3 linked regions of the Tamandua tetradactyla genome follow. The main gene of each other region encodes a partner of the protein of the gene in region 3 in a complex. Links are inferred from orthologs where the notes say so. Each region holds a gene or a part of one and is shown on either strand. Other genes may lie near its edges. The genes, in order: WASF2, NCKAP1 and ABI1.

Region 1 (10,122 bases), on a different chromosome or scaffold from region 3:
TAATTCAATTCTGTTTGGTTTCTAAGTTAAGAAGTGTGTTTCATTTGCATAAATGGTAACAATTCTGAGATACTATTCATAACCATACATCTGAAATTCTCCAGAGTACCATTCACAACTTCAAATGGAACAGGGAAAAAAAAAACATTCATTCAACTTCATTTAAATGGTAACTAAGACATGAATGACTATAACGTTATATTGCAGAGGGTTGGTCAAAGGAGAGCAAAAATCCCCCAAAATTAACCACTGACTAGTCATTCATTAATGCCAAAGGAACCTAAGGACCACTGTCTTGATCAATCTACTTATTACAAAAAAAATTTAGTTTATAAAGAATGCCTATTAGCTAAACATGTTTTTTTAGAGTTATAAAGTACCTATGCATATGCAGGAACATCAAAAGATATATCTTAGCCAAGAAGCTCAAACATTATCAAGGAAAAATACTGACAAGTCTAACAAGTTCACTATAAAAACAATACTGGCTTCTCTTAGGTGTTAAACTTTTCAGCCATGAGCTTTTCCGAGTAAGTACTTTACAAGATAGTAATATTCCAGTAGTTCTTTATCTAATCTTAATTAGTGGTAGAAATTGAATTTACATAGATCTGCATAAATAATTCAGCTACCTGTACTACTCTAATACATTTAAGTCTAGTAAAATAAAATTTGAACAGAATAAAAATAATGGGGCTATTTCAAAGTTGTCACCTCCTAATTTCCCTCATTTTCTTTCCTATCCAAAAGGCAGAGACAGGAGACCGTAAAGCCTAAAAGAAGGAAGAAAAGGAGAAAATGAATGAACTGAAGGCATTTATACCCACTTCTCTTTACTAGCCCATCACTCCTACCCTTGATACTGTGATTTTTCAACAGGGAGTAATTTTGCCCCCCAGGAGACATTTGACAATGTCTGTCACAATTGGGGAAGTGGTATACTAGCATCCAGTGGCTAGAGACTAGGGATTCTGCTAAACGTCCTACAATTTACAGACCAGCCCCCGAAAATGCATAATTATGTAGCCCAAAAGGTCAACAGTACCAAGACGGTTTAGAAACCCTATGCAAAGGCCCAAGAAAGACCTACCTTTCAGAAAAATAATAATGATTATTTCTCTCATAATAATTTAATATTCTCAGAAGAAGAATAAATGCTTGCTTGTCTGAATCGAAAGGGAAAGACCATAAATTGGGGGAGAAGTTCACAAGAATGAAGCAGAATATAGAGGCCATAATTTAAGCATCATTAGCATTTATTAAGTCTTTACTGCGTGCTGGGCACTGGTCACGCAAAAATGAACCATACGGTGCTGCCCTTAAAGAGCTCACAGTCAGGTGGAGGAGTTTTATAGATTGTCTAATATCAGCTTTCACAAACTGATAAATGCATTAACAAAGGAGAAAACATACAAAAGGGTCACTCAGCTTTTCCCAGGGAAAGCTTCACAGACGACATCTTAGCCCAGTTTTCAAGGATGAATAGGAAGCATCTTATTTCACAGCCTCTTCGCAAACAAAGAGCCATTCATTTCTTCAGTAAACAAAAAGCTACAGAGCACCAATTATGTTCTTGCACTGTGCTAAATGTGGGGAGACCCAGTCAAATCACAACTTTCCATTTCTTCCCTTGGCATGGCTGATGCCCACTGGCCCACTTCCCTCCCCCCCACAAATCACCAAGAATCCTTGAATTTCTACTTATCCCCAATTTCACAACTGCTAACCTAATTATCTTAGGAAGGCCACCACTCAAGGAGAAAACAAAACTTCTAGTTGCCTTTTGATAGACTACATTCAATCCTGCCTGAGAATGGTAATGTTGACAGAATATCCGGCAATGAACTACACCAACCATGGGTCCAGATCTGCCAACCGTTAGATGTGTGCTGTTATCTTAGAAAGCTATTTTACTTTATGAAAAATCTGGGTAAACTCCCACCCTACCCAACCCATGCCAAGACCAATGGCAAATTAAACAAATATTTACTGAACACCTACACTGTGCTTATGTCAATTGTTCTCAACTGGACTGTGTATTGCTGATATCAGAGGTCCTAGGCCAGATAGGTATATTTTTTAAAAGCTCTGTAAGTAATTCTGATGCAAGACAAATTTCATGCTCTGGCCTTTGGGCATTAAGGAATACAAAAGAAATATAAGATACTCTTCCTGTCCTCAAGAGCTTACCCAGCCACACCAGGGTAAATTGGAATAGGATTCTAGTTAACTAAATTTAATCCTTTTGCAATATTATCAGGGCTTATGAAGTTAAAGAGAAGAAACTGGGGCAATTTGGATAGTAATAATTTCCTAGTCCAACTATAGATCAACTCCACCAGTAACTCCTGATACACAGTTCTACACTCCTTCTACCTCCCACACAGTTTAAAGGAACCATTCTCTGGGACTATGGAGTCACTCCAAGAGGGAAGATGAATTAAGGCCCAGAATTAAGGAAAGAATCCCTCAAGTTCATGCTGTCATGGGGCTTCCTCTAAAGAGAAGAAACAATCCTTCATCCTCCAACAATACTAGTTCACATCACTCTACAGTAGAGGTATCCGAGAAAAGCAAAGAGTAGCCTGAGTTTTCTATTTAAAGATTAAACTTGGTTTAAAGTGATGTGTATAGCTGCCAAGTTGACACACGAACCTGACCATGACAAATACTGAGGATGAACCTAGATCTTTACATGCAATAAATTCAAGGCCTTAACTACTGTACACACACAACCCTGGAAAATGAAGCATTAAAAGGACTTTTAATAAATGACGAAAACCAAACACACCATTATGTTGTTTTCCAAGTGATGGCAACATGTGCATTATATAATATCTAGATCATTTCCTCTTAGGTTGAAATCTGACTAAATCACAGTAAAAACACAGCCAAAGATTGAACTGGTAATTATGCTGAGTAAAAGGATCATCTACAATAACTAACTTACTCATTAAAATGTTCTGATTTATTTATAAATTATCTTGGAAGGTTTAAGATTTAAAATCATTTCATTCTAGAGTTCAATTTCTGAAAGTTGACAAATTACAATGGACTTTTTCTGTGAAAGCAGAGCCTCTGACAGAAGCAGCGCGTCAAGATATTTGAAGGGGAAGAGAAGTTTCATAGTTCTTTCCTTCCTTTAGTTGCTGCTTTTCTGGTTTTAGAATTTCAAACAAAGAAATACATATTGGCTTCACTGCTAAGAAACGCCCTTTTTCTCAGCAACTTCCTCTTCCAATTTTCTTCCCCACCATTGACATACGAGAACAATACCCACTGCGGGTCCTATCATTTTGATTAACCAAAAGCTCTGAGGTTTGTAAAAATTAAACGCTGCAATTTATGGTACTCAACTACCCCCACCTCCTCACTTCCCACAGGTTCACAATCTTTGCTCACCTACAAGTCAGGTAAAACAAAGAAACATTATACTCAATCAGAGGCAGGGTATTGAATCTTTCATCCCTCAAATCTAAAGAAATTCGAACTAACAAATAGGAAAAGAGGAAAAGTCTCCCATCCCAAGAAAATGTAGCCTTCTTAAGGAGGAAAGGAAGTTACTGGGCTGGCACAACCCGAATAAAGGATTTGGTTCGTACATGAAGTGCCAGTGAACTTTCTTCTACAGGCCACAAGGCCAGGTTTCAAACTGAGCCCTCTGAGTTTTGATACACTTTAAAGTGACTTATACAACTTAGAAATGGTCCTTTTCTTTTCACAACTGAAGAAAGGGGACGGACTTTTAATAAACCATCTAGGAATCACCACCCAGCCAATCTCCAGGCCAGGAGTCAAATCAAGCACCAGGGCCAGACCCCTCCCCCTCTGTGAGAAAGCAAACTTTCCCACTACTATCTTTTAAATGGGCAGTGACTACCCTTGGCCAGTGATTCAGAGGAAACACTTTAACACTGGTAAGCTCTGCACCTTACTGTGTGACCTTGAGTAAGTTACTTAATTTCTCGGAAATTTTGTTTCCTCGTGTGTAAATTCTCAAGGGTTACTGTAAAAATTAAATAATACATACACATAGTAAGAGGAGCAGCATAAATGTTCTTCTCTCTCCTCCTCCTAACTTCTTCTAGGCCATAAGATCAAATCGCAGCTCCAAGAGGGTCCAAGAACCTCTTCCTCTTCTCTGATTCTATACCCAATTGTATAAAAATTCCCCATTTCAAAGGCTGTACGATTTCTGGAGGGCCAAGACTATCTGGTCCCACTCCATCATGGTCTCTGTGTGGCATCTAGAGCATTGCTGGGGGAACCGCTTGAGCCCACTCTTTTACTCTGCAATCCATCCTACACACACACACACAGACACACAGACACACAGACACACACACACACACACCTTAATGTCCTCTCGACCACTCAGCAACTTAGCAGGCTGGGAGCTCCAGAAATATTTCTTGGTCCTGAAATGGAAATGTAGGCTCAGCCTGGGGAAGAACTTGCTCAATATCTCAGACAACATCCATGTATATCTGTCTGCCTACAAAGCCTCCGTCTTGCAAATGGAGAAAGTAGACTCAGAGAAGGAAGTGACTTGTCCAAGGTCACACAGAAAGTGGCAGAGCCAGCTCAGGCATTTTCGCAGGCTTACAGACCCGGGGCCCCTCCAAGTTTCCTAAGGGAACCCCGAGTTTCCGGCCCCTGGAAGTGAGGAATGTGTAGTAAGAAGTCACCCGGCGCAGATGGCTCGCCCGGTTTCTTCCAGGCCGCAGCAGGAGGCTCGGCACCCACTCCTCCCGGACCCTGCGCTCCCGGGAGCGGAGGATGGGCCGGGTGCCGTGCCGCGGAATGGTGGCGCCCGCCCGAAGGGACTTGTTGCTCACCTGGCCTCGCGCGGGCGCCCTCAGCGACAGAAACGTCGGCCAGCCACCCTGTCTCCGCACAGGGTCTGCTTCAGCCGGCCGTCTCACAGCCTGCCACACAGCCGGACCCCCCTCAGCGCGAAACGCCCCCAGCCGCGCTCGCCCGGCCTGCGTCCGCCATTACGCGATTCCCCGCCCTAGGACGCAGCCACACCCCGCCGACAGCCCTGATTGGTTCTCTGCCCCGCCCTCCTGGGGCTTCGGAGCAGTCCATTGGCTTAAGTGGAATGTCAGTTAAATAAATACGCAAAAGACGCACCCAAGGGTAGAGTCCCGGGAGCTCCACCCGAGCGACTTCCGCAAACGGAGTAAACAGCAGGGAGCAAACCAAGTGAAGTGGGAGTATAGATTAAAGTAAATCAACTCCTAAATACAGGGTAGGAGAATTCCATGTAAGAACGTATAAAAACTCATACAAAGTGTATAGAAATTCTAATTCTTCTTGGTAGAGCTTAAAGGACCAGTATTTTGGGTGGAAGGAAGGGACCAAGTCCGTGAACTTTCTATGTACTCCCCCTCAAGTTGCAGATAGTTTTGTCCCTTTCCTCCGGGTCCAGACTCGGCCGAAAGTAGGGTGGGGATGAGGTTGAGTCACTGGCTCTACCCCGCGATGGAAGGTTTCGCCGTAGGAGAGGCAAGGGCCCCTGGGACTGGGAGCTGGTTCTGAAAGGCCCTTTGTATTGGGTCAGGTGAATTGGACCCAATTCAGTCGCCACTTCACTCTGTGACCACCGACAAGTCCCTGAACTTCATGGTCTCAGTTTGTCCTTCTGCAAAATAGGAACAATCACGCCTGCCTCACTCCCTGGGATGGTTGAGGATTTATGCATAAATGGGTGTGTATGTCCATTGATTATAAAAGGCTGCAGCTGGATAACGAAGTGACAAATTCACAAGTTAGCAAAGATATCTGCGTTGGTTCTCCAGAGCTACCCTGTGTAGGGCAAGTATTGTCCTCGTTTTTGTAGAAGAGAAAACCTAGTCTGGGGATATTTTGACATGCCAAGGGTCCCCTAGGGAATTGGAAACAGCCCTGAGTGAGACTCAACTCTTTGTCTTTAATCTTCCATTCCTTTTTTTCTCCCAGGCTCCGTGTCACCTGAAAAAGACTTCCCTCCCCCATCCCCTAGCCTTCCAGAAAGGGTCTTGGGGAAAGAGGGCAGAATTTCCCACACCTCTTTGGTCACCATAGATTTGGGCCCTAGCTATTGTCAGTCACCAAGATTTGTGGGGAAAAGTGACCTTCAGAATTGGGGACCCTAGGAATCAAGAGTAAAAGACTACTGGCCGCTCAGCAGCCCCGGCAGTATCCCAAATGACACAGAAACTCTGAGAGGGGCAGTGACCCCATTGTGTGCCCTCAGCAAGGCAGCCTTCATGCCAAGACTTAAATCCAGGTCTCTCTGCTCGCACAACAGGCCTTTTTTCACCACAGGATTGTTTTTCCCAGAAGGGCTGTCTTGGCTGTAATCCCTAGTCCCTTTCCCTTTCTAAAAATGAAGAAAGCCAAGAAGGGAGTGAGAAGGGGAGCAGCCTAAAACTTTGGAAGGACAAATCTGGCCAAAAGGGTGTGGTGTCGACAGGGCCCCAGTGCTGTGGACCTCCAGGCTCAACTGGGATGTGTGGTTTGACTACCTGTGACTATTTAAATCCTAACTGTGGCGTTTGGTGCTAGGTGACAGCAGGTGCTATGCAGTATGCAGTGGCTTTGAGGTCAGACTGACTTGAGATTGAATCCAAGTTCTACTGCAGAAAGCAGTACTGACCTTCATCAACTTTTTCTCAAAGGTGGGGATAACAGGGCACTTGTGAGGTTAAATGAGTTAACTGTGAAATCAATGAGCCGTGTGTGTCAAGTGCCCCGTAGTTATATATTCATTCGTGGATGCATTTGTTCAATAAATTATTAAGCACCAACAACATGCAGGGCAGCCTGCCAGTGCTGCAGCCACGATGGTGAATAAAACAGATTTGGACCCTCATGTCGCTTAGAGTCTTGTGAAGAAGAAAGTCTTTGAACAAATGATCACACAAATCAAAATACAGTTAGAAACCGTGATAAGGAGCAAGAAGGCAAACTACAATGTGCTTATGAAAGTGAACTTCTAGAGATGGGGCAGGAGACTTCCCTGGGAAGAGATGTCTAATGTGAAATGGATAAGTGGGGGTTAACAAGACAGGTGGGGAGAAGTTACAGGCCTAGACGTGAAAAGGCATCTAGGCCAATGGACTTGGTGGCAGTGGGGAGGGGCAGGGCTCACAAGACCTTGTGGGACACCAAATTGTTGAAGAATGAGGGTACCTGGCCTTGAAAATTGGGCTATTCTCCAAGGATCTCTGCACTTCTTTTAGAGTCCCTGAAAGAATATCAGCTTTGAGGCAAATCTGCATGGAGCTGAATTTCGACTCTGCCACCTAGGAGTGTGTTGCCTTAAGCAATCATCACATTTTTCTGTGCCTCAGCTACTCTTCTGAGAAATGCAGATAATGATAGCGGGTCATAAGGTGAGGATAACGATTGAATGCAGAAAGGTGTATAAAGCATCCCGGCCCATAAACAGTGCTCAATTTTTCTGGCATGGAGGGAGGTGAGCCTGAGGCAGCAGATCCAGCAGATACATTTGGGAGAAAGCTGTGTGGGGCAGCTATGCACTGGATGAGTTGTCATCTGACTCTAATTGTCTTAAGAGACTGTGGAGCCAGACAAGCCTCAGTTCAAATCCCGGATACACTACTTCCTAGCTGTGTGACCTCGGACAGGTGACTTAGCCTCTTTGAGCCTCCGTTTTACTTATGCATAAAATGGGGATCATAATTGTTTCTGTTTCGGGCGGGCCACGGTGGCTCAGCAGGTAAGAATGCTTGCCTGCCAAGCCCGAGGACCCGGGTTCAATTCCCGGTGCCTGCCCATGTAAAAAATAAAAATAAAAAAATAATTGTTTCTGTTTCCCAAAACTGTGAGAATTAAGTGATATAATAAATGTGAAGCTCCTATTAACTCTAATAATGATTATTATTGTTTTTTTGTTGTTGTTTTTTTTCACATGGGCAGGCACCCGGAATCGAACCCAGGTCCTCTGGCATGGCAGGCGAGCATTCTTTTCTGCTGAGCCACTGTGGCCCACCCATGATTATTATTGTTAATATCAAATTACTACCTGCCCTGGAAATAAAGATCTCGGGCTTTCTTTGAAGGTTGACTGACAACAGGAGTCTCAGTTTCTCCTTTGAGGCAATGGTGATAGACAAGTTGTTTTCAAGGGATGAGCGCATATCAATAGTAATAACAGGCACTAACATTTATTGAGCATTTATTATGGAGCAGGCGTGTGCTGAGTGCTTTACATGTTTTAATTCATTTAATCCCCACAGCCTTCCTGTAAGTTGTCTTGTTGTACTTATCCCCCATTTTATAGATGAGGTAAAAGAGGCACAGAGAGGTTAAGTGACTTGCCTAAAGTCAACCAGTCAGGAATAAGTACAGTTGGGATTCAAACCCAACCAGGAAACTTGAAAGGACTTGCTGCTGCTCTTCTATCCAAGGAGTTAGAGGTGAAATTGTTCCCTGCTCCTGGCAAGTCCCCAGTTTCCCAAGACCAAGCCCTGTTCCTTTTGCACTAAATTTAAAAAATAACCTGTTTTTAATACCTGTTAAAATGCCTGTTAAAAATGCCTGTTCCCTATTCCTGAGGCTGGTAAGAGCAGAGACCAGACCCTCTGCTTCTGCAAGGGGAAGCAAAGGACATTTGGTGTACCAGACTGGGTCTGAATCCCAACTTTGCCACTTATGGCTCTATCTTGGCAAAGTCACACTGCGTCTCTGAGCCTCAGTTTCCTTATCTATGAAAAAAGGATTATAACAGCTCTGCCTACAGGTCCGGTGTGAAGAGCAGAAGAAATTAGGCCTGCATAAAATATGAAATGCAGTCCACGCTGGAGTTCCTCTCATTGTTGCTATGGGGATGGCGATCCCTTCCGGAGGAAAGCAACCTAGGCGAGATAGCAGGCGACTTCAGGTCCCAGCTCTGCCTTTGGCACCCTGTGTAAACCTGGTTCAGCCTCAGTTTCTCCATCTATAAAATGGAGTGACTAATACTGATTTCAAAGAGTTGGAGAGAAAATACTATGAGAGGATGTGCAGAAAGCCAGGAGCCAGCGCCTAGTTCAGAGCTGGCTGAGTGCAGCCTGCTGAGGCATTCCAGGGGGAAGAACCAAACAATGGGTACAGAAAGTCTCTCAATGCTGCGCCCCCACACCCCAATCTAAGGGGAAAAGGATAGAGTGCACTGTGCTTGCAGCCCATGATTGTCGCCCACCACCCTCTCTCTCTTTGCATCCTTAGCTCTTGCTGGGACCACTAGATCTCTCTCTCTCTCTTTCTCTCTCTCTCTCTCTCTCTCTCCTCTCTCTCCTCTCTCTCTCTCTCTCTCTCTCTCTCTCTCTCTCTCTCTCTCTCTCTCCTCTCTCTCCTCTCTCTCTCTCTCTCTCTCTCTCTCTCTCTCTCTCTCTCTCCTCTCTCTCTCTCTCTCTCTCTCTCTCTCTCTCTCTCTCTCTCTCTCTCTCTCCTCTCTCTCTCCTCTCTCTCTCTCTCTCTCTCTCTCTCTCTCTCTCTCTCTCTCTCTCTCTCTCTCTCTCTCTCTCTCTCTCTCTCCTCTCTCTCTCTCTCTCTCTCTCTCTCTCTCTCACTCTCTCTTCATTCTCACAAGTTCTTTTCCACTGAGCAATCCCAGGGGGCCCCAAACCTTGGTTCCAGCCAAGCTTGCAGGCTTTCCCCGCCTCCACATCCTTAATCCATAGCCTTTGCATTTGCCATTCCTTCCACCTGGAATGCTCTCTCCTCCTAGAGCGCCTTTGATGGGGAAGTGGTGGTGGTGATTGGGGGGGGGGGGGTTGCTGGAGAGGAAGGATCCAGAGTGACGCTCCCCTACCTCCTCATTCCCCTCCCCTGCATCCCCCACACTGCATGCCTCACCTCCCCTCTCCCAGCGTGGGGGATGAGGCAGCACGAGGAGGGGGAGGAAAGCGGGGAGGACTCAGTGAAGGGCCCTCTGTGGGGTTTTTCACCTGCTCAGAAGAGGCAGACGGAAATGAAAGCTCTGGAAAAACGCCTGCCGCTCTGCTGCAGCAGCCCCAGCTCAATGAAGCCTCCCGATTCCCATCAAACCATCTCCTCCTCCTCCTCCCGCAGGCAAATGCCTCAGTCAGAGAAGGGGTGGGGGGGGGGGAGGGACACAGCGGGGCCGGA
Region 2 (10,822 bases), on a different chromosome or scaffold from region 3:
GTTCATTACATTGGAATTTTTTCACAGGAAAAACAACTTATTCATTTATTTGTTATTTGGGGTGCATGGTTCAGGAATTGAACCCAGATCTCCCATTTGGAAGGCAAGCATTCTACCACTGAACCACCCATGTGCCAAAACTGAAGTTCTTTTAATGGTTTTAAAAAGAAAGATAAATCTGCCTTAGTTTTGCAGAGCAGAAGCAAACAAACATGTGAAGTATGTTACCAAAGGTCCTGGCAGCTTATAAGCTATATTTAGTTGAATGTGAACAAACAAGATCAAGGTTGTAATTAATTTTTCATTTTTTTTTTTAACTTTTCGGATCAGTTCTATTTCTGGCACCTCTTTCCCAACGACTAGAGAGATCTTGTGTTTCATTGAGGCTTGTTTGGTTTCTCCTCAGCTATACCAAATTGCAATCTCTGGCTAAGTCTTAACTTCTCACATCATCTAGTACAGATACTGGGATACTATTGCTCCATCTTTTCTCTATTCTCCTTCTTAAGCATTCTTAGCAGAGTAAATTTTTCATACTTTGTGATCTCTGCCACATAGAAGGACAGAAATGGAAGTACTGCCTTAACAAATATACAGCCTATCCTTTCTATGACCACTGCTAAACTTCAAAATATTCTATCATTCTTTTCCAGAATTCTACACCCAAGGTTGATTCCTTTGTTTATATCATGGTCTGAATATATGCAGTCTTTAAAACAACTTTTGAAATGAGAAGGCCTTACAAAACTCCATTCAATTTGCTACTTATATATGTCTAATCCTTTTTACAATTTGATTAACTTTTCTCTTTCTGCATTCAACTTGTCAGAAAGTAGGAGTTTCCTAAAGGAAGGGCTGGAGGGCAGACAAAAAAATAATGTCTATTCCATTATTAACAAGCTGTACCTAAGAGAAATTTGGTCATATATTTATAGTTATGCTTAGCTAGTGCAACCTGGTTTGAAGTCTGATGGGAGGAAAAATGTTGCATATGTCTTTAAGAATAAGTGGAATATTACCTTTGACAGGAAACGAAGTAATCAACAGTTTTTATCTTAAGACTCCTTGGAGATGACCTTTATCAATTGTTTCTTTCTTGTTCTTGCCTTCCATAGGGGAGCGCCAGATCGGTGGGTTGGCTAAGTGCTTATAAAAAGCAAATGAAAACATTCTTCACTATTATCATAAAGCATTACGGGAATATTTCTCAATCTAGATTCTGGAGAAAGCAAAGTTAAGGAAAGCCAACTAAGAGAGTGGGTTTATCAGGACTATTTATGAAGTTCTGGGTAGGGTTAAGGGAATCTGGAGGGAGCTATAGAATCATATTGATTCGCATTACAAATTTATGCCATCCAATTTTACCTGGTCTTCAGTGCTGCCACAACAGTTAAGAGCATGCATCATGCCGGAATAGATCCCAGTTTAATTTGGGCAGTGAATAAAGAAGTATTTGCAAAATCCCCTTGGGGCACTGGGGAGAAAGGAGGAAATATTCAACTTCTCCATTTGGAGAATTTCTGATATTCTCTCAAGCAGTGGAGACAACCAAATCAATAGGCTGAGCCCTCAATCTTGGGGTTCTCCCCTATGAAACTTATTCTTGCAAAGGATAGGCTAAGCCTACTGAAAATTAGATCTAGGTCACCCCCAGAGAACATCTTTCATTGCTCAGATGTGGCCTCTCTTTCTAAGCCAACTCAGCAGGGGAACTCACTGCCCCCCTACGTGGGACATGACTTCCAGGGGTGTAAAAATCTCCTTGTCTATGTGGGACAGAAATCCCAGGACGAGCCAGGACCGAGCATCACGGGAATGAGAAAGCCTTCCTGACCAAAAGGGGGAAGAAAGAAATGAGACAAAATAAAGTTTCGGTGACTGAGAGATTTCAAACAGAGTCAAGAAGTTATCCTGGAAGTTATTCTCATGCATCATATAGATATTCCTTTTTGGTTTATGGTGTACTGGAGGGAAGTACCTGAAACTGCAGAGCTGTGTTCCAGTAGCCTAGATTTTTGAAGATGATTGTATAAAGACATACCTTTTACAATGTGACTGTGGGATTGTGAAACTTTGTGTCTGTTGCTCCTTTTATGCAGGGTATGGATGACTGAGTAAAAAAATATGGATGAAGGTTAAATAAATAATGGGGGGGGGGTGGATAAAGGGTAAAATAAATTGGGTAGATGGAAAAAAAATCTTAGTGGTCAATGAGAGGGAGGGATAAGGGGTATGGTATGTATGGTTTTTTTTAAAATTTTTATTTCTTTTTTTGGAGTGATGTAAATGTTCAAAAAATGATCATGGTGATGAGTACATAACTATGTGATGATATTGTGGCCATTGAATGTATACCATGTGTGCAATGTTTATGTGTTAAGATTTATCAATTAAAAAAAAAAACAGAACTGGCAATTTCCCACTGAAAAAAAAAGAACTTTGGAGTCAGACTGACAAAGGATCCAGTACCAGCTATATTATTTTCTATGGGTGCAGTCACGAAAATTTAAAAATCTACATGTATTTCCATTTTCTCACCTGTAAATGAAGATGGGTTGTTGAAAGAGGAAAGCTAGAAAGTGTAACTCAAATAGCAGCATTTGCACTAATGCACACTTAGTGCATATCAAATTTAATTATTATTCCTTATTTTATTCCTATTAGAGATATTGTTTTCACAGAAACTATAATTATTTAGGACCAGATTTGGCTGTGAGTAATAGAAAAATCCAAAATAAAAGAATCTTAATAGAACTTTATTTCTCTTACACATAAAATCTAGATCTAGACAAGCTAGGTTTAGTACAGCAACTCTGCTCTGGCAAGCCCACACACAGCTTTCATCTATATGTTCTGCCATAGATGTTCCTTAGCGAGTGGCTCTTGTCTTTAGGGTATAACAGATAGGTTGTTACAACCCTCATTTCATGTGACAGTTGAAGTTGGTAAGAACTGGCAAAGGAGAGCGGCAGCGGTCTTTTATGGGAGGTTCTTGAAAGCTTACATTCTATTGGTCAAAAAAATTAGTCAAATGAACACACTAAGCTGCAACGGAGGCTGGGAAATGTAGTTTTTATTCTATTTCTAAAGAAAAGTACAGAAGATCTGAACAATCCCTGCGACAGCCAGCAACTGTTTCAAATTAGTTTACCTTCCTCAATTTCCCAAAAGTTACCTTTAGTTCTCTCATTTTCCTTGTATTTTTTTAATTAAAAATTTCTCCTACCTTAGCATTTACAGACCTACACATTTTATGCTCTACTTCCCTCTCTAGCTTTATTTCCCTTTTTTTCATGTATGTAATGTACATTCCTGTTATTTTCCTACCATTTTGCATTTGCTGAAGCTGAATTCTCAAGGCCAAGCTCAAATGTAAGTTACTCCAATAGGACTCTTAGAAACCTCAGATTGAAACTGCTCTATCTAGTGGTTCTTCTCTCATAGCCCTGTATCTCAACCTGTCTTATACTAGATTTCTTTATATATATTTCTATACTTACCAGAATGTGAGTCAGAGGATAGCCCCACCCCCCCCAAAAGGATCTGGTTTCATATTTCCTTCTACCATAGTACTCTGTGCATTTTAAGTATTGATTAATGTATTATATAGAATTAGAAAATGTTCTTTAAATATCCAGGATTGTTACTATAAATATTTAATGTTTTATACAATGTTTTATACTGCATATTAAAAACTGCAGGCAAGAGATTGCTTTCTGAAATTTTACATGAGTAGAGTTTTATAATTGAATTGTAAAATATATTTGGTACTATATAATGTAATTCTATTGTAAGTTCTTATAAACCCCATCCTCTTGATGTCGTTAGAGTGGGAACCTTTGTACTTGTGCTGACAGATATCATTTTTCAAACACAGATATATAATAAAATCAGATGTATTGAGGTATAATTAACATACAATAATATTCACCTCTTTTTAGACATACTGGCCTATAGTAGTTAACTCTCATATTTAACTTTCTAGGATTAGTTCAAATATAGCTATCATTTACTTTCTACATGTCTCCAAAGACTTATACTAATTTTGATGATCTCTGAATGTGTTCTTGGGACAAAGAACAGAAATCTCAACTGAAATGAACTATTTGAAAATCTTTAGTACCAAAGGAATGGTGAAGGTTATGCTTTGCATGATAAAAGAAACAAAAGCTATAATCACGCTTTTTAAAACTCAGTTTTAAATCATTTTAGAAATGTATGCTTTTCCAGGAAACTAGAGCAGGAAAAAACATCCACATGAGCAATTTTTTCATAAATTTACTAGACTGATTCATGTGGTATGACATTTTCAGATTGAAAAACCAAAAGGAAACATAAAATGACATATACTAATTACAACTACTATAAAATCATATTAATATGGCAAAATATATGATTATAACCTTAGGACTGATCATGTACAAATGTCAAAGGACTTGGGCCTTATATAGAGAAATGCAAGATTGTAAATATTTCATCTAGATCTAATTTTACTCAAGTAGATATATTCAATAACACTCTATGGTCAATATTTCTAGCAATTAGTTATAATAAAAATTGAATAATGAGAATAGCGTTCTTGCTTTTTAGGGTACTCTTGGAGTTATAAACAGCTACAAGTGTGTTCATGTTCATATTGAAACATGATAGAGGCGTTTCTTGAGGAATAAGAAACCATTTTCTGCCATTTTCTCTCTGCGCAGCTCTTAAAAAATACTAGAAAATGAGATAATCTTTCATAAGTGGGTCTTTGTAATTATGCCTCTGGCTAACTTTGTGGTGTCTTTTGAGAGTACAATGTTTCATCAAAGTTCAGCCCTTTCTGAAAATTTTCTTTTCTGGCTGGCACAAATAACTCAATGCAGACCCTCTTCCCAGGTCTGCTGTTACCACTCAAGATTGTTGGCTCTGCTAAATTAAAAACTTAACTATGTGGTTGGAAAGTAATCAGAGAGATTAAATCCCCTTAATATGTTTATGACAGATTACAGCTCAATAGATGACCCTTCTGAGGTGATTGTATTTAAAAATAAAAAGAAAAAAGGACTTTTTAGATACAAAGTCTTTTTTCAAGATAGTACATCTGTAAGTACAGCATAAAATTTCAAGCACAATGGCAGGTATTACATAAAGATTTTTGTATTTGGTAAGTGTAGGGTTCTTTTCAATGCCCCTTAAATCACCCATTTAGTCCAGTCTCTCTTGCTGGGATAGTAAAATGCAGATTTCCATAGGAATAGTTGATATACTAGCTTTAAAAAATGTTTTAAAAGCTATTCGTTTCAATTTCCTTTTCATAAGGTGTTTTAACAATTCAAAGATAGCTTATTTATTCATAGAATGCCTTTTATTGAAGGTGGCAGAACATTTTGTCATTGACTTAAAGTTAATGAATATAAACGTAATCTAAAAGACTAACACATTGAAAGAAGGTAGGGCCAAAAATATCAAAGCGGTTTGAGTTCTCTTGGGTGGAATTCCCCACTTCAATCAATTATATAAGCCTATGATTCGTTCACTTTTGGAACCATATCTAATATATTGACCGAAGGAGTGGCGTTGGAGTATGGCTGAGAAGAATGTTTCCCAAAAAACGGGTGGGATTTGTGGTGCAGGCCGGGAAAAAACTGGGAGCGTTCCTACATTCATTGAACAAGCGTTTATTCTGTGCCTCCCACGTACCAGAGCCTCTCTATTAGCTTCTCCGGATGGGTGCTCCCTTTCGACAAACTCTAGATTCTGATTATCTCAGGAACTTGAGTTGCCCCCATTTCCGCCGTCCTCCCGCATAAACTGGCTTAAGGCCGAGAAGTAAGAACGGGATGGGGAGCTTGGAGAGGCAATGCTCGCCTCGCGGAGCACAACATCTGCTGTGTTCTGCGGGGAGCGTCTGTCAAGCAGTGGGAGGAAAGGCGCTTGGAACCACCAGCCCACTCTCAGGAAAAACTAGCCTGAAAAATACATCACTCCCCACCCTCGGTGCTTCTGTCGGTTTATTTGGCCTGGAAGAGGGGGGGGGGCACGGAAACGCAACTTTTGCTGCCACTTTGGGAACTTTAAGAAGGGTGTGCGGCGCGAAGAAACTTCGGTCCCCACTTAGGACTCCCTTCCCGGAATAGGGAAGAGGCAGGGGTCCGGGTTCGGCCCTGGTCCTGGTCCGGAATCCGAGCAGCGGCGGCGAGGCCGGGAGGGGAGGGCCAGTGTCCGCTGGGCGCTGTTCCCCGTCCAGCCTCGCGGGGGCGCCGGCGCGCCGGATCAGGTGACCGAGCGCTGGTCTGGGGCTGCGGGAAACGGCCTCGTTCTCAGCCGCGGGAGACGCCGCCGTCGCCGCCACACCTAGTGGAGGAGCAGGGGAAGGCGGCTCGGTGGGGGCTGGGACGGAGAGCACAGGGGGGTGGGGACGGAAGGGCGACCGGCGGAAAGCCAGAGGCAACCAGGGCGAGGGCTGCTGCGGGAGAAGGGGGCCCCGAGGCGTCAACCGCGGCTCGTTCTGTCGCCGGCGCGAGATTGGGGCGCGAGGGCCATGGGCGCGCTCCCTTGAGGCGGAGGTCGCGGGCGGGAGGGGAGGAGGCCCGAGAGCGGGAGCTGCGGAGGCCGCGGGCCGGTGACTGGGCGCTAGGCGGCCGGCGGCGGCGGTACCACCACGATGTCGCGCTCCGTGCTGCAGCCCAGTCAGCAGAAGCTGGCGGAGAAGCTCACCATTCTGAACGACCGGGGCGTCGGCATGCTCACCCGCCTCTACAACATCAAGAAGGTGCGCACGGGCCGAAGAGGCCGCGGCGGGCGGGACAGGAGGGATGGCAGGGGAGGCCCGGGGAGGTGGGGGCGGCGGGCGGCGCCTTGGGCAGAAATCTCGGCATCGCGGCGTCAGGCCTGGCCGGGAGTCGCCGGGATGCGCCGCGGCCTATTGCGGAGTCCCGGGAGCCTTCCCGGTAGCTCATGGGCTGACCGTAGGCAAAGAGAAGCCATTTCCCGGTTCACAGCAGCGAGATCCGGCGCCGGCCCGGCACTGCGTTCCCGGGCTCCGCTGCCCCCGGCTCTTGCGCGCCTCCGCCCCTGCGACGGGGTCAACAGGAAGAAGAGCCCTCTGGGTGGGCGAGATTTTAGGGGGATTGGGAAACTTCGGCGTTGTGTAACTGAGGCTGAATGGTAGGTATCTGGCGAAGATGGTAGCGCAAATGGGATTACACCCCACCTCTCAGAGAGTGTTTATTTGGTGTGTGGGAATGTGGGAAGGGAATGGCTAATCAGGATGACCCGCCACCCCTCCACTCTGCCACTTTATTCTGGATTGCCAAGTAAAAGCTTTTAGAGAGGGTATTGACAAGTTGGCATTATTTCATTTTTTGAAGTGCAGAGGAGGGGTAGGTGAGGGTGGAACAAATTTTCTTCTAAAATACTTCTGGGCTGTGAGTCACAAGAACAGGAATAACAACCTTTTCTCCCCTCCCACTTTACTCCTCCTCATTTTAGTTTTCCCAACCCGGTTTGACGTTACTAAAACACTGTTCTTTAAAGTTCGGTGTCAGTGCAAAATAAAAACCGCAAATAAGTTGCTATTACTGCTGAATTATAACATTCTGATAATGTGAGTGAATATAGCTAATAGACCCACCGAAACTATTTACATGTCTTCAGCAGATTAAGGAATAAAAGGCTGAGTTATAGTTAAGACAAACAGATGTAAAGATAGAACAAAGATTACATTCATTATTTTAGGAAGCCTTTCCTTTTTAAGAAATTTTTTTTCTTTTGAGGAAAGGTTGGCACGTTTTAAGAATTTGATTGAAAATTAGAGATTTTGTGTACAATCTAAATCTTTTTAATTTCCTAAGTACGTTTCGTGTTATATCTTCTTGATTATTTTTGTTGGCTTTTTAATAGATCAGGAATTTTCCGTTTTAGTTTAATCATAGCAATAAGCAATAGAATTGTTATGCTTGCGAGTTAGGGCTGCTGCAAAAAGATTATATGTTGAAAATTCTTATTGTGGAGTTCAAGCATAAAAATGATTTATTTCTACAATTTGATGTAGACACCATAATTCTAAAAGGGTAGACTTCCCTGGCTTCCTAATGATAAATTCTAACTGCTCCTCCAGTTGCTTACGTGGATGCAAAGATTGACTCTAAATCCTGTGCAATCTGGATTATAACTGCAACATGCCTGTGCAATTTGTTACATTTTATGTGGCAGAAACTGTCACTACAAGGAAGACTTCCATATTTACTAAGATGCTTTGGTTATAAATTTATATAGGTTAGAAATAATTTTATTTTAGATAACATTACTTATCTTACTCAAAGGTTGCATTGACCTGAACTTTTTATGAGATTATGCTCTTAGAACAAATTCGAAATTGGTTTCTATATGAACTTTGTCCAAAAAACTGGCAAATCAAACATTACTGAAAGTTGCTAGACTTGTGGTATTGTGGTTAAAGGAAATGGTTATGATGGTTTTGTGAAGAGGAAGTGAGAGTAACATCAAAAGTGATTAGGGTGTTTTGGCAAAATACCGTTTTGTAAGCATTCATTAAACATCTTTACTCTGTAAATGCAACGAAACTTGACGTACTCCACCTACATAAATTAAGTAAGATTCTACTGAATTCTAAGTATCTGAACTCAATTATAATCCCAGAAGACAGTTCGCTGCCTTTTCTCAAAAGCAGTATTTTTTTTTTCACTTCCTGTTTTGAGAAGTGAAAACTTTTCGGGTTCTCTTATTGTTGAACTAGTGAAATTTAAAATGAGTTGAATGTGATCATTATTATTAAGTTACAAATATTTCAGCACTTAACACATTTATAGTTGGAAAATATTTTATCAGTTTATCTGATTGTACGTTCCCTCATAATCGATCTCTCTGGGGAGGGACAGTGTTATTCATCTTTGAATTACTAGTACTTAGGGCCTTAACCAGCAATGGTGCATGAGGCCTTCAGTAAGGCCTTGTTGAAATGAATTAATACAACAACAAAAATATATACCTTGCTCCAATTTTAATTGGAGCTCTGTTTGCTCTTGTATAATTTTTCGAACAAAGCATCATCTATATTTTTGATCTTTTAGACTCTAGAGTAAGCTAGACCCCAAGAACTTGGCAGGGATTGAAACATTTGTTCAAAAATCTTGCCAAAAGAGTGAATAAGATCTGTTCGTCATGTGTTTATAAGGTGCATGCTGTCTGCAATCTTACTGATACTATAACTACGTAATTTTTTCAATCACAAGTTTATAGCCCTTGAAAAAAAAACTGTACCTCATAATATATATCTGCAAATTAATTGTCAACGTTTTCATTAATGTATTTATTCATTAAATTGTGTATGAGATCTTATTATCCTGTTTCAATTGGAAGTTGCTCTGGAAATTATATTTTAGTGAGTATGTACAATGAAAATACTTCAGTGACCTAAGTAACTCTCTTCTTCAATTAGTAAATAATAACATGCTTTCACATTTATAAGGGGAACATAAGGCCACTAAAAACTTTTTAAAGAGAATTTCATCAGTCAAAAAAATTTTTGATATCTTAATATGTACCAGTTTTGGGAATTTTAAAGGAATATGTAATCTAACTGGGAATGTGAGAAGACTGTACAGAAGGATTTTAGAGAAGAGTCATGAAGGGAGTAGACAGTTTTTTTTTTTTTGCATAGTCCCGGCACCGGGAATCAAACCCGGGTCTCGCCCACCCAACAGTTTTAACTTAAATTTATTTGTTCCTTAATTCCTAAAAGTTTTAATTTTTATTAAAAATAAATACCTTCTCCCTTTCTAGACATGTTACTCATATGTAGTGATGATTTTCAACTATCTTCAGGCTACGTTTATATCTGTTACTTGTGGTATGGCAGGCAGTTAAGAGCGCTGGGACTTTGCCAGGAGTTAGGAGACTTGCATTCCAATCTTCATTTGGTCACTGAGAATTTTTTAACCTTGGGTCAGTGACTTGGCTTTCTTGAGCTTTGCTTTGCCTCATCTGTAAAATGGGGGAAATTAATTTTAATAGGTGCACTAAAGTCTTTTTTGGCTCTTATTATTTTATCTTTAGAAGTTCATGGTGAAGTAATAAGTAGAAGTTATGGCTCATTTTACACAGTAACTGGGTTCAGTATAATTTTCTGTAAAATAGGAATTTTTTTCCCTCCTTTACAGGTTTGTTTGTGAAAATAAAAGGCAATAATAAATGTGAAAATAGTTTAAAACTGTTAAGATTGTAAGATAGAATTTATTTAGGTGCCTGAGCAGCTTTTTTGGGGAGGCAACATTTATTTCTCTGAAATTTTGCTGCTGTTAAACTCCCAAATCCCAAAACAAAATATTTTGCTGAATTTAAAAATATTTCTTCTGTACCATTTAGTCTTCCCTTTTTTTCTGTCTCCTTTCTTTTCCTGTACCATCACCAGCATGAGTTTCATAACTCTGTAACAAAAAGGACTCAGTCAATGCTAGTACCTAACTATTGCAAACTTTTAAAAATGGATTATTTTTATTTTTAATTTTTTTTTTAATATTTTTATTGACAAAACAACATACAAACATTCTTAACATAGTAACATTCCATACATGGTGTGCAGTCAGTGGTTTATAGTATCATTACATAGTTGTGTGTTCATCACCATGATTATTTTTGAACATTTGTATCACTCCAGAGAAAGAAAGAAAAAGAAAAAACTCATACATACCATATCCCTTATCCCTCCCTCTCTTTGACCATTAGTATTTCCATCTACCCAATATATTTTAACCTTTGTTCCCCCTATTATTTGTTTATTTTATCCACATTTTTTACTCATCTGTCCATACCCTAAATA
Region 3 (10,201 bases):
CCATAGGCTTAGAACTGTAAACTTGTAACTTATTAAATTTCTGTTTTTAAAAGCTGTTCCAGTTTTGTTATATCATTCCAACAGCTTGCAAACTAACAGAAATAGGAAGTGAGAACTGTGGTGTATACATACAATGGACTATTAAGCAGATGCAAGAAGGAATAAATTTGTGAGGCATGCAACTAGGTGAATTAACCTTGAGGACAGTAAGTTGAGTGAAATGAGACAGAAATGAAAAGACAGGCAGTATAATGCCTCACTAATATGGACTAACTATAATGTGCAAACTCTGAGAATTGAACTCAAGAGCATAGCTGATCAGGGGAAAACTTACTGTAAAGGTTCCTAGACTGTTTTACAGAAGTCACATTTATGCCTGAGTTGTAACTTTTATTTCTAAATTCTGAAATGTGGAACACTTTGTATATAACCTGGTTGTTCCCCGGAAATTTGGGTATTTGTGTGATCTCAGACTCAGAGTTAGAGTTCTGCATTTATGAAAGTCAGCATTACCCCACACAGCAACTGTTAAAAATGCTGGAAAAAAGATCAGACTTCAATTAGAGAGATGGATGAAGCAGATCTGATTAGGGCTAAGGTAAATCAGACTAAGGGTAGAAAATGATATTGACTGTATTTTAAAACTTCAGCTTCTGTGTGAGACCAAAGGAAGGGATGTTTATTTGGTGCAAAATTTATGTTTTTTTGTAGCACGCTAACTAATTTAACCTGTAGGGTTAGCTCCTTCTAATAAAATAATTACATAGAACCATGAATTGGGAGTGAGATCTTGTTTGTTTGTTCGGGTCTGTGTGAGGCCTTGTCCAGAGTAATCTGGACAGAAGACAAAAAAATATTTACAAAGTCCTCTTGAGAGATTGGGGGAAAAGGTGGAAATATTAAACTTCCCTGCTTGGGGGAAGACTTGATATTCTTGCAAGCATTGGGGTCTACCAATTTGATAGGCCAAGCTCTTGTTCTTGGGGCTTGCCCTTATGAAACTTAATCCTGCAAACGTAAGCTAACCTTACTTATAATTATGCCTAAGAGTCACCCACAGAGAACCTCTTTTGTTGCTCATATGTGGCCACTTTCTCTACCCCAGCTCTTCAGGTGAGCTCACTGTCCTCCTCCCTACATGGGACATGACTCCCAGGGGTGTCAATCTCCCTGGCAACATGGGACATGATTCCAGGGGATGAGCCTGGCCCTGGTACCATTGGAGTGAGAAAGCCTTCCTTACCAAAAGTGGGAAGAGAAATGAAAGAAAATAAAGTTTCAGTGGCTGAGAGATTTGAAACAGAGTCAAAGGATCATTCTGGAGGTTATTCTTATGTTTTATATAGATACCCCTTTTCAGTTATTGGTGTATTGGGGTAACTAGAGGGAAATGTCTGAAATTGCTGAACTGTAATCCAGTAGCTTTGATGCTTGAAGGTGATTGTATAACTACATACCTTTTGTGGTGTGACCATGTGATTGTGAAAACCTGGTGACTGACTCTCCCTTTATTCAGTGTGTAGATAGATGAGTAAGAAAATAAATACAATAAATAAATAAACAGTAGGTGGAGTGGGAGGGTATGGGATGTTTTGGGTGTTCTTTTTCACTTTTATTTTTATTCTTTTTATTGTTTTTGGAGTAATGAAAATGTTCAAAAACTGATGGTGATGATGAATACACAAATGATACTGGGTACCATTGATTGTATATTTTGTATATTTATTTTATTTGAATATGTAATACATTCACATGATTGAATATTCAAAAGGCTCAACAAGTAGGCTTTGAAAGGATTTTATCTCACATCGGATCTCCAGCCTCCCAGAGGCAACAGATGTTATCACTTTCTTATAGGCCTTCTAGAGATTATATGTACAAACAGTTTTTTTACTTAAATAGATCACATACTGTTCTGCCTCCTTGTTTTTTTTTTATTTCTTTAACCACACATTCCTGAGATCGCTGCATATCATATATTAAAATGTCCTCATTGTTCTGGGGGTGTGAAGGTAGTTCAGTGGTAGAATTCTTGCCTGCCATGCCGGAGACCTGGGTCCAATTCCCAGCCCATGCACTTCCCAAACAAAGCAATCAACAAAAATATGGTATGATTATATGGTATGTGAATATATCTCAATAAAACTGCATTTAAATATATATATGTATGGAGGAGCACTAGGTTCCTCCATATTTTCAGGATCTGTTTTTAAACTTTTTAATCTTTTTTTTAAATCTGTTTATCTATTCATGTCATCACTAAATATTTTTTTTTTTTTTTTTTTTTTTTTTTTTTTTTAAAGGAAAGACAGAGAGAAGGAAGGATAGAAGGCAGGAAGGGAGGAAGAAAGGGAAACATCTTTTAAACATTTTCTTGTTTTATTGTATTTTGTTTCTCCGTTTTTGTTACATGGGCTGGGGCCGGGAATCGAACCGAGGTCCTCTGGCATAGCAGGCAAGCACTTTGCCCGCTGAGCCACCGCGGCCCGCCCATCACTAAATATTTTTAATTATAATAGCTTTTAAATATATTTTCATAACTAAAAGAACTAGTTTCCCTCATGTAAAGAAAACTTGTCATTGCAGTTTGTGGAAATAGTTAAAGATTGAAAACAATGTCTTTCTATAATTATGATACATCCACTTACAAGAATACCAGAAAGAACAATGAGGAAATTTTTTTTTTTGTATGCTGTACGGCAGGGTTTTATTTCATTCTTTTCCCATGTGAGTATCCCGTTATTGCAGCACCATTTGTTGAACTTTTATTTTTGTTGATTGCTTTGTTTGGGAAGTGCATGGGCTGGGAATTGGACCCAGGTCTCCGGCATGGCAGGCAAGAATTCTACCACTGAACTACCTTCACACCCCCAGAACAATGAGGACATTTTAATATATGATATGCAGCGATCTCAGGAATGTGTGGTTAAAGAAATAAAAAAAAAAACAAGGAGGCAGAACAGTATGTGATCTATTTAAGTAAAAAAACTGTTTGTACATATAATCTCTAGAAGGCCTATAAGAAAGTGATAAAATCTGTTGCCTCTGGGAGGCTGGAGATCCGATGTGAGATAAAATCCTTTCAAAGCCTACTTGTTGAGCCTTTTGAATATTCAGTCATGTGAATGTATTACATATTCAAATAAATAAATAAAATTAGGGAAAATTCAGGAGGTCAAAATTTACCCCTGTTTGCTCAAAACTCTTATACAATTCGCTAGGACTTAATTCCTTTCGATCTTGACCTTCCAAGAGCTGCTTTTATGTGAGCATCTACATAGACTTGATAGAGTGTGGTCCAGGTGTTTCACAAACTTTTTTGACTTTGTTGCAGAGTACGAAATATGTTTTCTTATACATTTATTATTTAAAACAAAAACTTCCATTGATTATTACCTTACTGTTGTGTTATGCCCGCTAATATTTTCTTGCCTCTTTTACTTTTTATAATCCTGGTCATGATGCATTATATCGATTTCTTGATCATAGGTATAGAGATTCATTTTGGAAAACACTAGTATATACTATAATTGAATATTTAGAAACATTTTTTACATTATTTCTCACTGATTTCTTTACTCAAATGAGAAAACATATGATACTGGTCAGTTTCAGAATAGCTAAGTCTAAAATTCTTCTGCATCATGTGTAGAAGATTGGAATAAGATACCTATACTGGTAATTTGCCACAAAGAAACAGGCATACATCTAGAAGCAAAGTGCAGTAAACAATGATCTATTCTTTTAAGGGAAAGTAAACAGACAAGGACTGAATCCCATCAACTGAAGTGGACTTTCTGAATTGTTTTGGCAGTGGAAGGTCTTCAGTGGACATTTTATTTAACTTGTCAAAGAATACTCCTGTACATAAAGGAGTTTATAATGCGCCTGATTTAAAAAAGGCTTGGGTTCAATTGTCATTTAAACTAGTGAGATGTTAAGCAGGGAGGCAAGTCCAGGGTACCTATCACTTCAGCAGAAATTTCAGTAAGTCGTAATTACATACATCCCTTCCCCTCAATTGCATTGGTGGGAATTTATGGAAGAGAACCTCTAAGGAAGGTTGAGAAATGTAGTTTACCTGGACGGTCTAGTGGCCAGTAGGAAGGAGAGAACAGATTTGTGAGGGCAAACAAGTTTTCATCACAAAAGCTTACATGCATTGTGTTACTTTGAAAATGTGCTGAATCCTTTACGGTATTTTTGTTACCTCCTTTATTACTTTGAAGGCATAGGTTCTAGCAAGATTATGTAATTTACTTAGGGCCACACAGCTGGTGGATGGCTGAGGTTAGATTTAAAATAAACAAGGGGAGGGACTTCCAGAATGGTGGAGAAGCGACCTCAAAAACTTGCTGATAAAAGCAATAAACAACAAAAATTGCCAAAATCAACTTTTTCACAACTCTGAAAACCACAAGCTTGCAACAATCTGAGGAGCACTTATTCAAGAAAAATAGCTGAAACTCAGTAAGAACAGCAAGTTTTGTGGCGTTTTCATTTGTTTTTCTTCCCTCTCTCCCTCTAGCTCCACAGCAGCCTCTTGAAAACCGACAGCATCACAATCACGACAGCTGTGAAAAGCCAGCAGCTTAGCAGCCACTTGGAGAGGAAAGACAGGTTTTGGAGTGCCTCCAAAAGCCCAATCATTTATCTGGCTGGAGCTCCCTGGAAAAGCCCCATTCTCAGTATTTTTCTTTATCCGACTAGACTGAAAGCTCACTCAGAGCAACAGAATTTAGGAAACTTATCAAAACCAATCAGAAGCAATTGCTTATCGCAGCGTCATCTTTAAGAAGATAAAGATGTGGGGTTTTCCATATTCTATTCCTTTTTAATCCTAATCAGAATCCTTGTTCCAAATTCACTGACGTCCTAATTAGGAAAGTTTCACAGCCTGCCCTGGGAAACGGTTTTATTCTCCAGAATCACCCTGTGGCGCCATCTCCCGGAGCGATAGCAACCTCCGGCCCTAAATCCCCCGCCGCAGGTCAACGTCCTTGATTGACGCCCCACTCCTTCCTTCCCGGAGGTGCCCTGGGCGCATGCGCTTCCGTCGCGACGCCCGTATCTCAGATACTACAATTCCCAGAAGGCGGTGCAGAAGAAGAAATACCAAATCCCGCGGCCTGCGCTCGCTGAACGATCGCGAGAGCAGGAGGTCCGGGAGGCTGCGCGGAGCGAGTGGCGGGGGTGGAGAGGGCGAGGAGGAAGAGGAGGCGGCGCTGTCCCACAATACCAGGCGGGAGGGCGGGCAGGCCGTCGGTATCCGGGCTGCGAGGGGCGCCGAGCTCCGCCGACCGTGCTGCCGCTGTCTCTTTAACGCGAGAGGAAGCGATGCGGAGGGGTGGAAAATGGCAGAGCTGCAGATGTTACTAGACGAGGAGATCCCGTCTGGCAAGAGGGCGCTGATAGAGAGTTACCAGAACCTGACGCGGGTGGCTGACTACTGTGAGAACAACTACATACAGGTGAGGCGCGCGCGGGCGGGCGCTGGTCGGGCCGAGGACCCCGCCGGCCGCGAGTGACCAGCCCCCTGGGCTGAGTGGGAGCTGCCCGACCTCAGCCGTGGCCCCCAGCCCCAGCCCCAGCCCGGCCGCAGCCCCAACCCCGGGCTTAACCTCGGCTCCAGCCTCAGCCGCAGTTCCTACCCCGGTCCCTACCGCAACCGGTCTCCAGCCCCAACCCCGTGTCTGGCTCCAACCTCAGCCCCAACCTCAACCCCAACCCCAGGTTAACCTCGGCTCCAGCCCCAACCTCAGCCCCAGCCCGGCCCCAATCCCAGCCCCAGCCCCAGCCCCAACCCCAACCCCAGCCCCAACCCCAGCCCCAGCCGCAGCCCCAGCCCCAGCCCCAGCCCTAGCCCCAGCCCTAACCCCAATCCCAGCACCGGTCCCATTCCCGGCCCCAACTGCAACCGGTTTCCAGCCCCAGGTCCAACCCCAACCCCAACCCCAACCCCAACCCCAACGCCAATCCCAATCCCAACCCTGGCTCCAGCCCGAATCCAGCTCTAACCCTGGCCCCGGCCCCATTCCCAACCCAGACCCCAACCCCAACTCTGGTCCCAACCTTAGCTCTAACCCCGACTCCAGCCCCAGCCTCAACCCCAGCTCTAATCCAGCCACATCCCCAACCCCAGTTGCAACACCAATCCTGGCCCTAGCTCTAACCCCAGGCCATCGCCCCGGCCCCGGCCCCAACCCTGCCCCTGCCTAGCCCCGCCGGGGAGAGCAAGTGTCGGGGCTGAGGGAGTCGGGCCGCGATACAGGAAGTGGCTGCGGCGGTTGAAACCCAGGAAGGGGAGGGAGAGCAGGGCGCGGGCGTCCCGGGCGGCCGCCTCCGGCGGGCTCGGCCCCTCGGCTCTGCGCGGGGACCGGGTCTGGACGGCGAGGCGGGGGAGCGCGGGGCCGCGCGGGGGAGGAGCGGCGGGGCGTGGGTCGGCAGACCCGGGTGGGGGCGATTATGCAGTTCAACCCAGAGGGTGTGTCTTTTATTTATTTAATTTTTAAAAAATTTGTCATGAGTCACATCACACAGACCTCCCGAGGAGTGGAGGGAGGGGGTGGGGAGTGAGGGAGGACGTTAGAGAGAAGTAAATCTTGAAATTCCTTTAAGTGATGGTTTGCTTTGCCTGCCTGTCCGTTTTCAGGTCTGGTTTGCCCTTCTCATCATTTTCACTTCCGCCCTACCTTGAGTATTTTAGAGATTGTTAGGGCTGTCATTGTGATAAAACATGGATTATTCTTAACTGCTTTGGGGAAAGGTCTTAAATACTCTCCCCAAAAGTTCTCAGGCTGACTTCATGAGTAACTTAAAATAGAATGGTCTAATTGCCGATTGCTCTCTTTTCTGAGGTTGCTCTCTTTTCAGCTTATGTCAGTGTATACAGTATGACTCCAAATAGATTACCCACTACATTTGTTTAGCTTTTGAACCACAACATAAATGATCAATTCTTGAAAATTTATTAGAAAATCCTTGGAACCTTATCTATGACAGATAGTTTTTGTTTGTTGTTGCTGTAACGATTGGAAGCGAATTATGTGTGTGGTAGTTAGGTTTGTAGATCTTTGGGTAGACCGACAGTTTGCAATAGGAGCAAGTCAAGTAGCAGAGCAGTCCTTTGTATCAGTATATTGGCACCAGAAACTCACTTGTTTTTGGTTAAGGCGTTGACCAAAACTCTGTAAGGTTAGAGTTTTTGCAGTTCAGAACTATAGTATTTTTAGATGTGTCTCCCATGTGGTTATCATTTTTAAGAACCAATGTTTCTGTGTTGGCAAATATTTTTCTTCTTTATTTTTAGAGGGAGATACTGTTTTAGAATATTTTGAATATTTGACAATTTCCATATTAGTAACATTGTATCTGCAGTAGTATTGCTAGGAATTTATCTTCATAAAACTTTTCAACCCTTACTTTAGTAATTCTAAGTAAACTTGTTGCATGTTTGTCCACCTACTGTATTACTTGTTTGTGCGAACTTTATATTTAGCCTTAAACATTTTAAAATCTAGTAATGTGGATATAATTAGCAAATAGAAAGGTGATTTTTGTCACTTATCGATATTAAAAACATGCAACTTTTATTCAACTTAATATTAAAAGCGTTAAAATTCAGGTGAACCTTAATTTACTGAAAATTTTAAAGGTTTTGAAAAACAAAGAGCACAGAAAATGAAATTATCCCCATCCCAGACAACTGTAGAAGCAGTGAAAGTAGTAGATAAGTAAGTACAGAAGGGGAGGCTCCTTTTGTTTTGCATGTTGGGAAATCAGACAAGTATATGATGTGGTAACTGCTGCTGCATGTTGGCAACTGTTAGTAGCTGAAGACGTGTGTTAACCTGTCTGCTGACTTTCTTTTTCAGATGCTTGTATGCTGTAAGGCTTTTTTCTCCTCTTTCCTCTCTGTCTCTCTCTCTCTCCTGACCTCTTTCCTTTTCCCCTCCTGCCACCATCATATAACTTTGAAGCACTTGTAAACTTCCTTGGAAATATCCCTAAATTAGATAAATCATGTTATTTTTCATCTCTCATTCTTTAAAATATTGGTACCATGGTACCAAGAGCCTCTGTTAGAGGCCTCTAGTTTTTTTTTTTTTGGTGGCTCTAAACTGGACACTAGTGAGATATCCTGATTTTACTGGAAAGCAACAACCAAAAAACAACCAAACCAGATGAAATTCACATAGCAATGATTGATGACCTTAAACCTTAGTAGCACATTTAAACCTCCCAGCTGCTTGATCAACTGTCTGCCTTCCTGACAGGGTCTTGAACAGGGTGAAGATGATGAAAATTCCTTATCTTTGTGGAAGTAAATGGATCTTTAGGAAGTGATAGGTGGTATGCTTAGGGAAGAAATCATTCTGGAAATATCCTTTGGATATCTGAGACCCTTTGGGATCTTTTCTATCCCTTCTATGATCTTGGTTTGGGTTATAACCAACATACTATGTGAATACCTTATCTCAAGGAAAGTATGCAGCTGTTTGTGTTTTGAGAATTTTTTGTACCCAAGCTGAATTAAATTATTGCCTGGGTGATTTTTATCCTGAGAATTCAGATTTCATTTTGTTGTTTCCAACAGTTTTGAAGTACAGTCCAGTTCATCTAAGGTGTTTAGATGACAAGTTCTTTTGGTTATAGTGCAGTTGAGTCCTTGGATCAGTTTATTTGCTTTTTGCGTTCTGTTGACGTTTATTAAATTGTATTATTGATAGCAAAATGTCTGAAGAGTCCACTGTCTTTAAAAGGACAAGATTTTCAGAGTTTTTATGGGGATTTTTAAATATGAATTTGAAAAAGTCTTTGCCTTGTCTGTCTTTTGTTTGATACTACCAGTTTGAATTTCCTGCAGGGTTGTATCAAAGCCAGTCACTCCTTAACTCAAACACACTTATTCATTTGGCCAATTCCCCTTCTCTTTTGCAGGGTCCATAATCTCAGTGAAGGGAAGGGAAGTTAAGTGAAAAGGAGTAGAAACTGCTTACGAATGGTTTTTCAGGATGTAGCTTGCTGGCTTGGGTAAGGGTGGAAAAGTCTCGCATACAGATTAATTTTTAAAATTAAATTTATTTTTCTGCTGGTGTTCCACCAACAAAAGCTTCATACATAACAAGTATTTTCTCCAAGCTGGGAGTACAAAGGAGATACCAATTGTATGTACTATATTGAGCTGCTTAGATTAGTTTGCTTTCCTCCCAGCATTACTTTAGCTTATGTGCAGTTGCTTGTTATGCACATTTGATTTTCCAAGGCAAGTAATTTTTGAGCAGGACACTTTGGAATAGGTAAAAGCTCATATCTCTGGTACTATAGTTTTTGTTGGTTTATAAACTATGTCATTTATTACACCACCACAACTTTTCTTTCTTTTTTTGTAATGGTTGAACAATCTGAGATTCAGAGAAGTTAAATACCTAGCGTAAGGCTTCGTAACTAGTATGAGCCTGCAGTCAAATCCAGATTTTCTTATTCCATTTCCTAAATTCTTTTCATTGAGTCCTGAATGGGGCGCTCACTGCAGCATGAATACAAAGAATGTATGGCGAAGGGAGTAGTGAAGGGTAGAGGGTGATAGAGTTGTTTCTGTTCGAGTTCCCACTCTATCAGTCTCTGCTGGTGGTTTTGTATCATTTTAATCTTTTCAAAAACTCTGTATGATAGGCAGTGTTCTCTTACAGATGAGCAAATTAGGACTTAGAAATTAAATTTTGTTAAGTGATGCCATTAGTAATTGTCAGTCAGGACTTCTCCCTAATTCTGACAGACTCCACAGAATGCTCTTTCCTTATCACCCCATCTCCAGACACAAGTGTGGGTTTAGCTTAGAACTCAGACTAGTTTAGGAATGCCAGGGATTCATGTTGGACAAGTCAGGGAACCTAACAACTATTTATCATCGTTTCTTTTGAAAATGCATTAAGTTCTGTGTTGCAAATATAAAAACAGATATGCTTGTTATTTGGAGACTGCTTCTGTCACCAAAAGATGTAGCTTTGGCACTTGAAGTGTTAAATTCATTTTTCATTGAACGCTGTAGATCCTTTTCCTTTCTGTGCATCCTTGCCTGCTTTATCTATTCTAATTCAGTTTTGCAACTGTGATGAGAAAATTTGAGGAGGAATTAGTAGAGTTTGACAAAAAATGTCTTAAATATTTTGGGTAGTTCTAATTTCCACACAAACCAGGT

Evidence for each region.
Region 1: ABI1 (region 3) and WASF2 share a complex: the UniProt entries of both Homo sapiens proteins name them as parts of the WAVE2 complex. The link is inferred for Tamandua tetradactyla from reciprocal best matches to the Homo sapiens genes ABI1 and WASF2.
Region 2: ABI1 (region 3) and NCKAP1 share a complex: the UniProt entries of both Homo sapiens proteins name them as parts of the WAVE2 complex. The link is inferred for Tamandua tetradactyla from reciprocal best matches to the Homo sapiens genes ABI1 and NCKAP1.

The regions. Positions count from the first base shown.
Region 1 is NC_135328.1:198,768,915-198,779,036, reverse strand, and holds the start of WASF2 (actin-binding protein WASF2), read right to left. Parts: upstream 5,008-10,122; 5' UTR 4,839-5,007; intron 1-4,838. UniProt on the Homo sapiens protein: Downstream effector molecule involved in the transmission of signals from tyrosine kinase receptors and small GTPases to the actin cytoskeleton. Promotes formation of actin filaments. Part of the WAVE complex that regulates lamellipodia formation.
Region 2 is NC_135329.1:155,921,430-155,932,251, reverse strand, and holds the start of NCKAP1 (nck-associated protein 1), read left to right. Parts: upstream 1-6,284; 5' UTR 6,285-6,646; coding exon 6,647-6,754; intron 6,755-10,822. UniProt on the Homo sapiens protein: Part of the WAVE complex that regulates lamellipodia formation. The WAVE complex regulates actin filament reorganization via its interaction with the Arp2/3 complex. Actin remodeling activity is regulated by RAC1.
Region 3 is NC_135327.1:223,996,299-224,006,499, forward strand, and holds the start of ABI1 (abl interactor 1), read left to right. Parts: upstream 1-5,195; 5' UTR 5,196-5,354; coding exon 5,355-5,471; intron 5,472-10,201. UniProt on the Homo sapiens protein: May act in negative regulation of cell growth and transformation by interacting with nonreceptor tyrosine kinases ABL1 and/or ABL2. May play a role in regulation of EGF-induced Erk pathway activation. Involved in cytoskeletal reorganization and EGFR signaling.